Schizosaccharomyces pombe: one gene and its partners. Changing the gene in region 2 together with the main gene of any one other region gives a genetic interaction. Each region holds a gene or a part of one and is shown on either strand. Other genes may lie near its edges.

Region 1 (3,759 bases), 2.4 Mb from region 2:
TTAAAATTTGTGTTTGCCAAGGATAAGTTAGCCAAGCGTAAAATTCAGAGTTGTGGTTAGAATTTATAATTCCTGATAAAACAGCTCCCTCAGTTAATATTGCTTCAAGCAAAGTAGTGGATGAGCACCCGTAACGCATTGTGACCAAACACCCAGATTTACCAATGCCAGCAGTAGCATAAACTGTATTACAATTGATGTCTTCATCCAACAAAGTGTTATGCCTTGATGAGGAATACACAAAATCCCACATTGGAGCGCAAGCAATTAAGCTACCAAAAAAGGACATAGGCGATACCGAAACATCATACACTAATGTATCAGAACAGTCACCACAAAAAACAATGTATGGATAACAAGGTAGTATCAAATTTCCTAAAGAAGATCCAGTCTTTCCAATTAAATTAATATCAATAGACAAAATAGAGTAACGAATGCGATACAAATCTCCATTTTCGTAGGTTAAATAGCAACAATTCGGAGTTTCGTTATCATTTGCAATAGACAATGGATAATTATGTGAACCGCTGCATGGAAGATCGGTCTGTAAAAATTTTAGATCCCCACATTCTATCTGTGGGACAGAAAGCAGACAAATCTTTGTCTCCAATAATACTAAAAAATGATCAGGAATATTGGAGCAAGGGATAATATGGGAAGCAAGAGAAAATTCGGATGGAACCGGTATTGAGAAGGTTATGTAAGAACTAGCATCAGAAAAGGTTTCCGTCTTAGACCACCTATAAACATTGATTCTAGGATTCGAATTTGAATCTAGAAAAAGACAAACATACGTAACACAAGACGAAGAGGATCTTTTTGGAGGTACAAATATGGTATGAAGTATTATTCCATCGATAGAAAGTTGAGCGAAGACTTGCTTGCTTAAGGAAGGATGATGTGAAAAGAAAAATACAATATCACCAGCAAAAGAATTAGTAGCCCACAAGGAAGCATTTGGGCATAAATCAATTGATTTTCCTAATTGTTCATGGTTGTACATTCGAGTATCAAGAACGAATTCATCTCTAATACGAATCGTCGGAAACGCTTTTTCTGGTGTTTTGACGAGCTGCAACAAGTAGCATTTTCCGTTTTCAGTAGCAATTAAAATATTCGCTATTGAATGTCTACCTGATTCTGACTGAAGGAAATGGCTTGATAACAAAGCAACAGACCTCGTTCTTGCAGGCAACGTGAATCTTTCAAAAAGTAGTAAATCACCAGATCGCTTTAAACTCACAGAAGCTACAGAGGAAAAAGATCCAAGTAAAAGGAGAGGAGCACCATCATATTCGGAAACATGAAAAGCCCAGGTGAATACGTTTGAATGATGAATAATTTCTGCCATGAATTCACAAAGTTAAACGCTTGGAACCAATTTAATTTGATTAGAGTCAAATTTTGATAGAATAGAAAAAGCTATTAGTTAATCGTATGCATCAAAGAAATTAGCAAATACGGAAAAAACATTAAAATCAATGAAAATAGATATGTACAGGTTTAAATATATATAACGCCCTTATTTAGAAGATAGATCCTTACGAGTTCCTCCAAATGTGAAAGGATTATTGACAACCAACCATGGCTTGTTCGAGTTAATATGTTGGGTTGTGTTGAATGTATGTAAGAATATCCATCGTTGGAATTTCGAGAACCTAAGGAACACAAAAATTAAGATAACAATTAATATGCGATATATGATTTTGATTTCTAGTTAACAAATATACGATTTGGTTTCATCTTTAGAGAAGTGTTGTCTGACCTACGACAGTTTGAATTTTCTACGGCCATTTAAAATCAATAGCTTAATGATGTCTTTTTTACCTACGTGAAAGAATTATCAACAGGGTGCTAATGTATACATTCAGAATCCAAAGAAAAAGGCTGTGAAAATGCAAGTAGGCACTTTTTGTTTTCCTAATTAAGAAATCGAAAACAAAAATTAGTACTTCCAAATAGATTTACATTGTTTTAATGTTGTCAATTGTCATTTTGAATGCTTAATTCAACAGATATAGACGGAAGTAAAATTTGAAGTATTAAAGAGTGCATAAAACTATTCCTCCTAAATATTTCGTAACATTGCTAAGTTATTGAATATATAGACCCATGCTTAAGTACGTGTCCTAGATGCGCTTAAGGTATTTAGTTACAATAATATATTTGCTTCATCTGATACTACCCTCAACCGCAATGTTTTTATCTTATTATATCGAAATTCATATTTTATTTCGCTAAAATTGTTTCTGATTTACTTTCCGCTTTCTCATTTCCGTGCAGTAAACTTGGATACGGTAATTATATATGGAGCTTAGTGTCTTATTGTTTAATAACGAGTCTTAGCTTTCAAATATTTTATTGGCTGCCGTTGCCGAATAGTGTTACCTGAGAAGGAATATCTTCCAATTACCTAGAGTTTCGAAATAACGTTGTTTTCGCTAGGCTATCTTGTGTTGCGCTACAGTAACACCACTTGCCAAACCTAAACAAATACTAGCCGACCGTACCATTCTCAGCTCGCCACTACCAACCTCTAAAGAACCATTTATACGGGGCAATTGAAATCGACTAACTCCAATTGTATAGTTAAATTGGAGTATTTTGGTTTGTATTTGCAACCAAAGGTTTTTAAACTAGTATCTCTTTCGGAGAAGCTTTTTTGCCTCTGCAAAAGTTCCTTTCTCGAATTGGTTTTTTGAGGAAAAGCAAGTTAATAAACTAATTATATTATATATAATTAGCAATTTTATAAAAAAAATAAAAAAATAGCCCTGATTGCTGGCAACTGTGAGCTGAACATTGGTTAATCGGTCCATCTTTTTTTAAATATTTTACATCGCTACTTTTAAGTGCTTGACACTTGCATTTAATAGCTACTTTCTTTCCTTCATAAAAATTCCTTTTTTTTCCTTTAGTTTTCCGGTTAATTCCTTACGAAATTTTTTTCGTACGCTTCCCTTTTTTACTCTGATAATTCTTTGAAGCAATGTCTGCTCTTTCGACCTTAAAAAAGCGCCTTGCTGCGTGTAACCGAGCATCCCAATACAAGTTGGAAACAAGCTTAAACCCTATGCCTACATTTCGTTTGCTACGCAATACGAAATGGTCATGGACACATTTGCAATATGTGTTTCTAGCAGGTAATTTGATTTTTGCTTGTATTGTCATTGAATCTCCTGGATTCTGGGGGAAATTTGGCATTGCCTGTCTTTTGGCCATTGCGTTGACCGTTCCTTTAACACGCCAAATTTTTTTTCCTGCCATTGTTATCATCACCTGGGCAATTTTATTTTACTCTTGTAGGTTTATTCCAGAACGCTGGCGTCCACCCATATGGGTTCGTGTTTTACCCACACTTGAAAATATTCTTTATGGCTCTAATCTTTCTAGTCTTCTCTCGAAAACCACGCATAGCATCCTTGATATTTTGGCCTGGGTTCCATATGGAGTCATGCATTATTCGGCTCCTTTTATCATTTCATTTATTCTTTTCATCTTTGCACCTCCTGGAACTCTTCCAGTTTGGGCTCGAACTTTTGGTTATATGAATTTATTTGGTGTTCTTATCCAAATGGCTTTCCCCTGTTCTCCTCCTTGGTATGAAAATATGTATGGTTTAGAACCTGCCACGTATGCAGTACGTGGCTCTCCTGGTGGATTGGCCCGTATTGATGCTCTCTTCGGCACTAGCATTTACACTGATGGTTTTTCTAACTCTCCGGTTGTTTTTGGTGCCTTTCCATCTCTTCACGCTGG
Region 2 (3,540 bases):
TTTTTGCACATTGGAGGCGCGGACTTTTCTACTCGCAAAATCGTTTTGATGGGACATTCCACGGGATCGCAGAATGTACTATACTATCTTACACAGTCCATTCTTCCAAACTACTTAATCGCCGGAATAGCACAAGCTCCAGTATCGGATAGAGAAGCCGCGTATCAATTTAACGGGAAAGAAAAAACAAAGGAATTGGTTGACTGGGTTAAAGCAGAATATCTTGACAAAGGACTAGGAAATGATGTTTTACCTAGAAGCAAGGTAGAGAATTTTTTTGGTGAAGTTCCGACATCTGCAAATCGATGCATTGACTTGACAGATGTCCGCGGAAATGATGACTTTTTCTCCTCTGACCTGAGCGCCGATGATTTCGCTAAAACTTTTGGTAATCTCAAAGAAATCTCCGGCTCCACAGCACATAGTCAGTTGATACTGCTTATGTCGGAAAGGGACGAGTTCGTCTCGCCATCAACTGATAAAGCACAATTACTGAACCGATTTCGCGAATCAATTCGTCCTACAACTTCTAATAGTTCCTTAAGCGGCATCATACCGGGAGCTACACATAATGTCGGGCCAAAATCTTCACCAGAAGCTTTGAAATGGTTGATAAATCAACTTATAACGGCTTTAAGAAGCTTCATTGATCAATAAAGATTCGTAATACATAGAATATGACTTTAGCGCTAAAAGTCACGTAGAACAGTTTAGATAATTGTGATCCGGATGAAATATTCGACAAAATCTCGCAATGGAGATTTAACAAAAGTAATGTTTTAAATTCAAAAGCATACCCTTAAGCTATCAAAAGCTTCCTCAAAGTTGGAGTTTGATAACTTTTGTGATATTTTTTATCTTTGAAGTTACTTTTGAAATGCTATAAAAGGTATATTGAGAACAATTCCAGTTACTAATCTACTGTTTTACAAATTAAGACTTAATGTTTATCCCATTCCCTTCATAGCGCATTTATCCATTTTATACGTGTTAAGATTATATAACAATATTCATCTCCATACTTCTGTCATTGTAAATTAAGGCGTATAGTTACTTCAATTGTATTATGAAGACAACTGCAAAGCTTCTTTATGTTCAACGTCAATGCTAATTAGAGAAAGTAAGCTTAGTAAGGTGGATGAATAATTCTTAAAACACTATGCTTTCTTTATAGCTATTCCATCGTTTTATCCATTTTATGCCTTATTGAACGCCCAATATTTCTTTAATCTGTCATATACTCTAAGGTCGAAGAGTTGTTACTTGTTTAACGGAAGTGGTTAGTTTCCTCTGACTCTCCTTTACAACATTTTACATCTATAAAAGATCTTTGATACTAACTAATGGAAAAAGATATTATATAAATTGATCGTTTCCACCATATTGTTTTCACTGTCCAAGACGTAGAAGCCACCTGTGAGTTCTATGAGCGCACATTAGGAATGTCGGTTATCGCATTTGGAAACAATCGCAAGGCACTCGGTTTCGGTCATAAAAAATCAACTTGCATCAAAAGGGTAATGAGATTGACCCAAAATCACACATACTGACTCCTGGGTCAAATGATATTTGCCTAATAGCTAAAACACCCTTAGAGCAAGTCATTGCTCACTTAAAAAAGCAAAATGTTCTCATAGAAGAAGGTCCTATTACAAGGGCTGGAGCTGAAGGAGTTATCCTCTCTATTTATTTTCGCGATCCAGATGAAAATTTAATTGAAGTTTCAAATTACATCTAAGAATGTTGAATTTGCTTCAAGATTCCTTTTTTTTAGCTTAGGACTTGCTTACATAAATAACGAATTGCAGTGCAATTCCTAAGGAATGAAAACCCTTACCGTTTAGTCAAAAGCACATAATGAGTGATAAATTTTTGATCAATTGAATCTTTGCTATTATGACTTTGGACATTGAAGAGAAAGAAGAGATAGTCACTTCACTCACAAAAGCAGAAATCCATCTTTCTGGATTGGATGAGAATTGGAAACGGCTCGTGAAGCTCGTTGGTAATTATCGACCCAATCGAAGTATGGAGAAAAAAGAGCCTTATGAAGAATTAATTCGTGCGGTAGCATCTCAACAATTGCATAGTAAAGCTGCTAACGCAATTTTCAATCGCTTTAAAAGTATTTCTAACAATGGCCAATTTCCAACACCAGAGGAAATTCGTGATATGGATTTTGAAATAATGCGTGCCTGTGGATTTTCAGCTCGTAAAATTGATTCATTAAAAAGCATTGCTGAGGCAACAATCAGCGGTTTGATTCCTACTAAAGAAGAAGCTGAAAGGCTCTCAAATGAAGAATTGATAGAACGACTTACTCAGATTAAAGGAATCGGAAGATGGACAGTAGAAATGTTACTCATCTTTTCGTTGAATCGTGATGATGTTATGCCAGCTGACGATTTGAGTATTCGTAATGGATACCGATATCTACACCGATTACCAAAAATTCCAACCAAGATGTATGTTCTTAAGCATAGTGAAATATGTGCACCTTTTCGTACTGCAGCAGCATGGTATCTCTGGAAAACGTCAAAACTTGCCGATTATACAAAGCCTGTTAGGCCGAAGAAACACTGAAGGACAGATGTATTATATATTTAAAAGTAAAAAGTTGAATTCGATAAGTTTATTCCTGGTTGGTCTTTTACATTTTATGTACGCTTCTTTTTATTTTTGGTTTACCAATTTATAGTATCTTTTCAATCATTTCTGAATAGAATGTCTACGTCCACTCAGACGAAGCATTTTCGTCACATTACGCTTATATAAAAGAAGTGATTTTTTGGTGAATGATGGCAAAAATAACAAAAGGGAGATGAGATGTTTTAATGGGTTCATTTGCAAATATTTACAAAACACTCTTGGGTGGTTAAGAAAACCCGTTTCTGCTACATTTGTCTTTTACTTTATGTGATACAAGATAGATGACGCTCAGCTGTCTCTAACGATATACTTGCGTATGATATGTTAATAATATAATGAATAATGATTTTTTTTGAACATGCTCATTTCTGTATCTGTATCTATGATGTCGATATAAATATTGAATATTAAATAAACCAGTTATTTCAATTATTTATGTATTGGCATGTAACGAGATAAATCAGCCTCTTTTACCAAAGGATATTTCACCATCATAGATACAATGTCAAATAACAATTGCGCACCAGCCAAGGATGTTATTTCTGCAACATCGTAAGCGGGAGCTACTTCGACAAGGTCAGCGCCTACGAATTTCAGACCTTGCAAACCACGTAAAATTGCTCTCATTTCTCTAGATGACCAACCGCCAGTTTCAGGAGTACCCGTAGCGGGTGCAAATGCAGGATCAAGCACATCAATATCAATGGATAAATATACCAAATTATCACCAACTCTGTCACGAATCTTTTTGACGATACCATCAATCCCCAAATCATCAATTTCACGAGCCTCAATGATTTTGAAACCACAATCAACATCATCATCGTAGTCAGAGAAACTAGAGATAGGAGTACGAATGCCAGCATGAATGTTGGCATCTTTGCTCATAAT
Region 3 (3,759 bases), 1.6 Mb from region 2:
ACTGCTTTTGCATAGTCAATCTCTAAAAATTTAGCTGCTGCCAAAGCACAACGTTTTCTACAATGATATGCTCCATATGGCAACATTGAAGGGACATATAAATCGATGTTTCCGTATGCATTTTTAGGAACAATGTTCGCAACAACCGGTTTCGGAGTGTACAACTGCGTAGCTTCTTCATCATACAAGGGTAATACTTTATCTCCATTCTTAACATGTTTTAAAGGCTGAGCTCCTGGCTTTATGATACGACCCTTACGATACCAATGTTCAGCAGAGAAGCCGTTGCTAACATATTTGCGTGGATACACTAATTCGACCCCATTTTTTGTGTTGATTCTTCCACAGGATTTACCAGTTTTAATAGCCTGGTTCTTTTTTAAATGCCTCTCCAAAACAAAAAGCGGGTGATCTTTCAAATCTTGAATATTCCTCGGAATTCCTTCTGATTGTTCAAGCCTTAGTAATTCCGCATCCTCTATAGCATCCATGTCATTATAAAAATCCCTTGGTTTTCCAATTTTAGAAAATATTCTATTCATCCAAGCCTTTCCAAAGGGAAAAATCTCGACTCTATTCTTTAATATTTTATAATAATGTAAACAATATTTTCGGGTAACATCTTTTACATACCCATTAGCCTCAATAGCAAATACATAAGTCATTTGATTTAGATGGTCACTGGAAGCCGGTTCAAACCTTCTGTACTTGCCAATGACACTAGCATCACCAAATGGATCAACACAAACCCATTTTTGCATAGCTTTATTAAAAGCCTCTACCCAAAAAACCGGTTTGGGAGAATCAATTACCTTTAGTTTTGTATCTTCTGTAACAATATCTGAGGCATCAAGATGTGAAAGATTTGAAAAAGAAGGCTGTATGATTTTCCTACGTTTGCGAAATCTAGAAGTAATGTGTGCACTTTCAGAGATATCGCTAGATGAATCATTTTCCATTTGCTGAGACCATGCCGGAACAATTTCATGACTACTTGCTTCATTTATGGCACCTTTAAATCGAAAAGATAAAACTTGTAGTGAAAAAACTAGTCTAGTTGGAACGTTTAAATTACGAAGAATAGATGCAAATAACTGGGTTCCATAATCTCTACTACCGGAAAGCAATTTTGAGTTTTTACAAAACTCCTCAAGGGATAAAGATTCAGAGATGAGGCTATTGTTTTGTAGTAAACCATAATTCGGTTTTCTTAATCCATTGGTAGTGATTTTATATTTCCGTTTCCAAACTTCGACGAGTCCAGCCAACCCGTGTAGGAAAGTTTTGTTCCGAATCATTTGTGACTTTTGAGAAGAGGGATGAAGCGAGACACGTATACCAGGAGGAATATATTTCACAAGATAATTTAGTCTATTGTCATCGCACCAAGTGTTTCGTGTGCAAAGATGATAAGTCAAACAGAGTAAGTGTAACTGATGAATTTGAAGACGAATCTTTCTATCAACGGAAGTGATCTTTAAGCGGCTACGTTTTTCAACCGTTCGATCAACGGTGGCCTCAACGTCTCCAAAATCATGAGTTGGTCGTTCTTGAATCAACCTTTCACCATGTACGGCGGATGAAAGGAGCGAAGAATTTAAAATAGGTGCAGTTTTAATATCATTATTAGGGAGACCAAGATCTAAATCTAACCATTCTTCATCATCACTATAGGTATTATCTTCGTCACTCATCATAGCATTTATATTTGATAGAAGCCAACTTTTTTCAGTATTAAGACTCGTTGCGCCCTTATTCTATTATATTATTTTAAAAAATGAAACATAAAAAACCAATGAAACGTTTTTGAGATGCGTAACTCTTTAAAAACACTAGGGAGCACGAGTTTATAAAGATACTTCAATTAAGTAGAATATAAGAAAATGTTTTGACCATTAATAATGCACGTAACACATGAGAAAAAGATTTGTATTTATTGATACGAAAAGTAGTTCATAACGTTAAGAAAAACAAATTCCTTTTCTATTAAAATCATAGCTAACGTTGAATTTGTTTATATACAGCGTTGTAGTGAAACCAAAAATCGCCGTTAGAGTACATTATATTTTAAGTTAGAAGTTTGCGTTGCATTTTGGTAAACGGCATATCTTTGAGGTAGCGATATGGCTACTTTGCAACTTCAATCTTTAGCATTGCACAGGCTATTCGAATTTCAAATTGCCTTTTTCAAGGGTTTACTATCTCTATCCTATATAAATTTCGTTAAATTTCTTTTTATCAAGAATTGAGGCTCGTTTATCCGGTCATAACTTTTGGTAGCTTTAAAAGGTCTCTTTGTTTAGGATAGAATAGAATTTGCTACCGTTCTCTCACGAGAGCTTAAAGATGGTAGGCACTTCTTCTTTAGATATTTCAATGAGCGGTAGCTCAAGTTCGGACGCAGAACAATGGGAGAAACAGACAAAAAGTGTCCATATCGATAATTCGTAAGTAACTGAAATAGTTGCTTCGCTGAACGTTACTGATGGTTACTAATCATTGCTTGTACAGAGACGTGAATTCGCTGATTTTAGATTATTTGGTGATTCAAGGTGACGAAGAAGCCGCAAAAACATTTGCTGAAGAAGCTCAAATTACGGATTATTATATTCCTCCATATGTAAAAGAACGTTTAGAGATTTGCGAGTTAATTAAATCAGGTTCAATTAACTCTGCAATATGCAAACTGAATGAATTGGAGCCAGAGGTATGCTGAAAGCAAGTAAGGATTACGAGTTAACAGCTACATAGATTTTGGACACAAATTCAGAACTTCTGTTTGAATTATTACGATTGAGATTGCTTGAATTGATACGAGAAGTTGTTGAAGAGAAAGATACCTCTGATTTAGCGGTAGAAAGATGTTTAAACTTTGCACATGAAAATTTAGCACCTTTAGCACCCTCAAATCAAAAGTTTTTGAATTCTTTAGAGTTGACAATGTCGCTTTTATGTTTTCCTCCTTCTTCCTACAGCCCTGCCTTGAAAAATGTTTTGAATTACAGCCAACGTGAGCGTGTTGCAAACCTTGCCAACGTTAGTATATTGAAGTCTCAAGGATTATCAAATGAGTCTAGGTTGTTGTCTTTGGTAAATTTTGAGCGCTGGTGTGAAAAAGAGGCACAAAGGAATTCGATTGAAGTGCAGAAATTTGTGCCCAAAGCATCCATAAAATGATTACTTTTTACGACCTTCCTCAGTTTATGCATTTATGTCTGTTACATCCATTTAACATAAGAACTTTTTTCGTATTGTTCTCACTAATGATAATTAAATTATTGAACTCACAAATGATAATATGACATTCAATTAACAAAGCCAATTTTTGTTGTTAAGCAACATCGTATAGTATCAAGTTACTGACAAGCAAAGCAAACACAACTTTTCCTTTTAAAAGTAAGGAGGGAATTTAATGGGTTATTAAATTAGCAATATTTTTTCTATGGCGAATAATTTGATTTTCTTCATTGGTAATCATAGATAACTGTAGCGAGATGCCTTTCGTTCTCGCAAATTAAGATTGTTTAGGCTAAAAAAAAAGGTTAGAATTGGATATAAACAAAAGTGTTCCAAAACTGAAAACTTACCAAATTTCAAAATTGAGCGTTTGTCGCTTTTCCAAAAAACTAGAAGTTTCCAACAACATATTGATATTAGGGCCTTGTAATGTTTCGGCTTGCAAGGTTTGTAAAAGGAATTCCTTAAATTCTTGGCTAATTAATCCACGAACTCGGTTGACTAAAACATTTGCATTCGGAG

Evidence for each region.
Region 1: of mag1 (region 2) and mms1, a mutation in one rescues a mutant of the other (synthetic rescue), as found in Schizosaccharomyces pombe (one study listed by BioGRID).
Region 3: mutations in mag1 (region 2) and rhp41 are lethal when combined (synthetic lethality), as found in Schizosaccharomyces pombe (one study listed by BioGRID).

The regions. Positions count from the first base shown.
Region 1 is NC_003424.3:595,927-599,685, forward strand, and holds the start of mms1 (E3 ubiquitin ligase complex subunit Mms1), read right to left. Parts: upstream 1,601-3,759; 5' UTR 1,352-1,600; coding exon 1-1,351. Other genes in the region: inositol phosphorylceramide synthase Aur1, read left to right, coding at 2,990-3,759.
Region 2 is NC_003424.3:2,953,181-2,956,720, reverse strand, and holds mag1 (DNA-3-methyladenine glycosylase Mag1), read left to right. Parts: upstream 1-1,856; 5' UTR 1,857-1,896; coding exon 1,897-2,583; 3' UTR 2,584-2,993; downstream 2,994-3,540. Other genes in the region: SPOM_SPAPB24D3.06C (uncharacterized protein), read left to right, coding at 1-657; SPOM_SPAPB24D3.03 (agmatinase), read right to left, coding at 3,079-3,540. UniProt on the Schizosaccharomyces pombe protein: Hydrolysis of the deoxyribose N-glycosidic bond to excise 3-methyladenine or 7-methyladenine from the damaged DNA polymer formed by alkylation lesions. Can release ethylated and propylated bases from DNA in addition to 3-methyladenine.
Region 3 is NC_003424.3:4,594,093-4,597,851, forward strand, and holds the start of rhp41 (DNA repair protein Rhp41), read right to left. Parts: upstream 2,004-3,759; 5' UTR 1,698-2,003; coding exon 1-1,697. Other genes in the region: gid8 (ubiquitin ligase complex subunit protein), read left to right, coding at 2,347-2,447, 2,512-2,707, 2,752-3,177; tea5 (serine/threonine protein kinase Ppk2), read right to left, coding at 3,475-3,529, 3,588-3,759. UniProt on the Schizosaccharomyces pombe protein: Has a role in the nucleotide excision repair (NER) pathway. Acts in both transcription-coupled repair (TCR) which removes damage from the transcribed strand of active genes and in global genome repair (GGR) which removes damage in untranscribed DNA.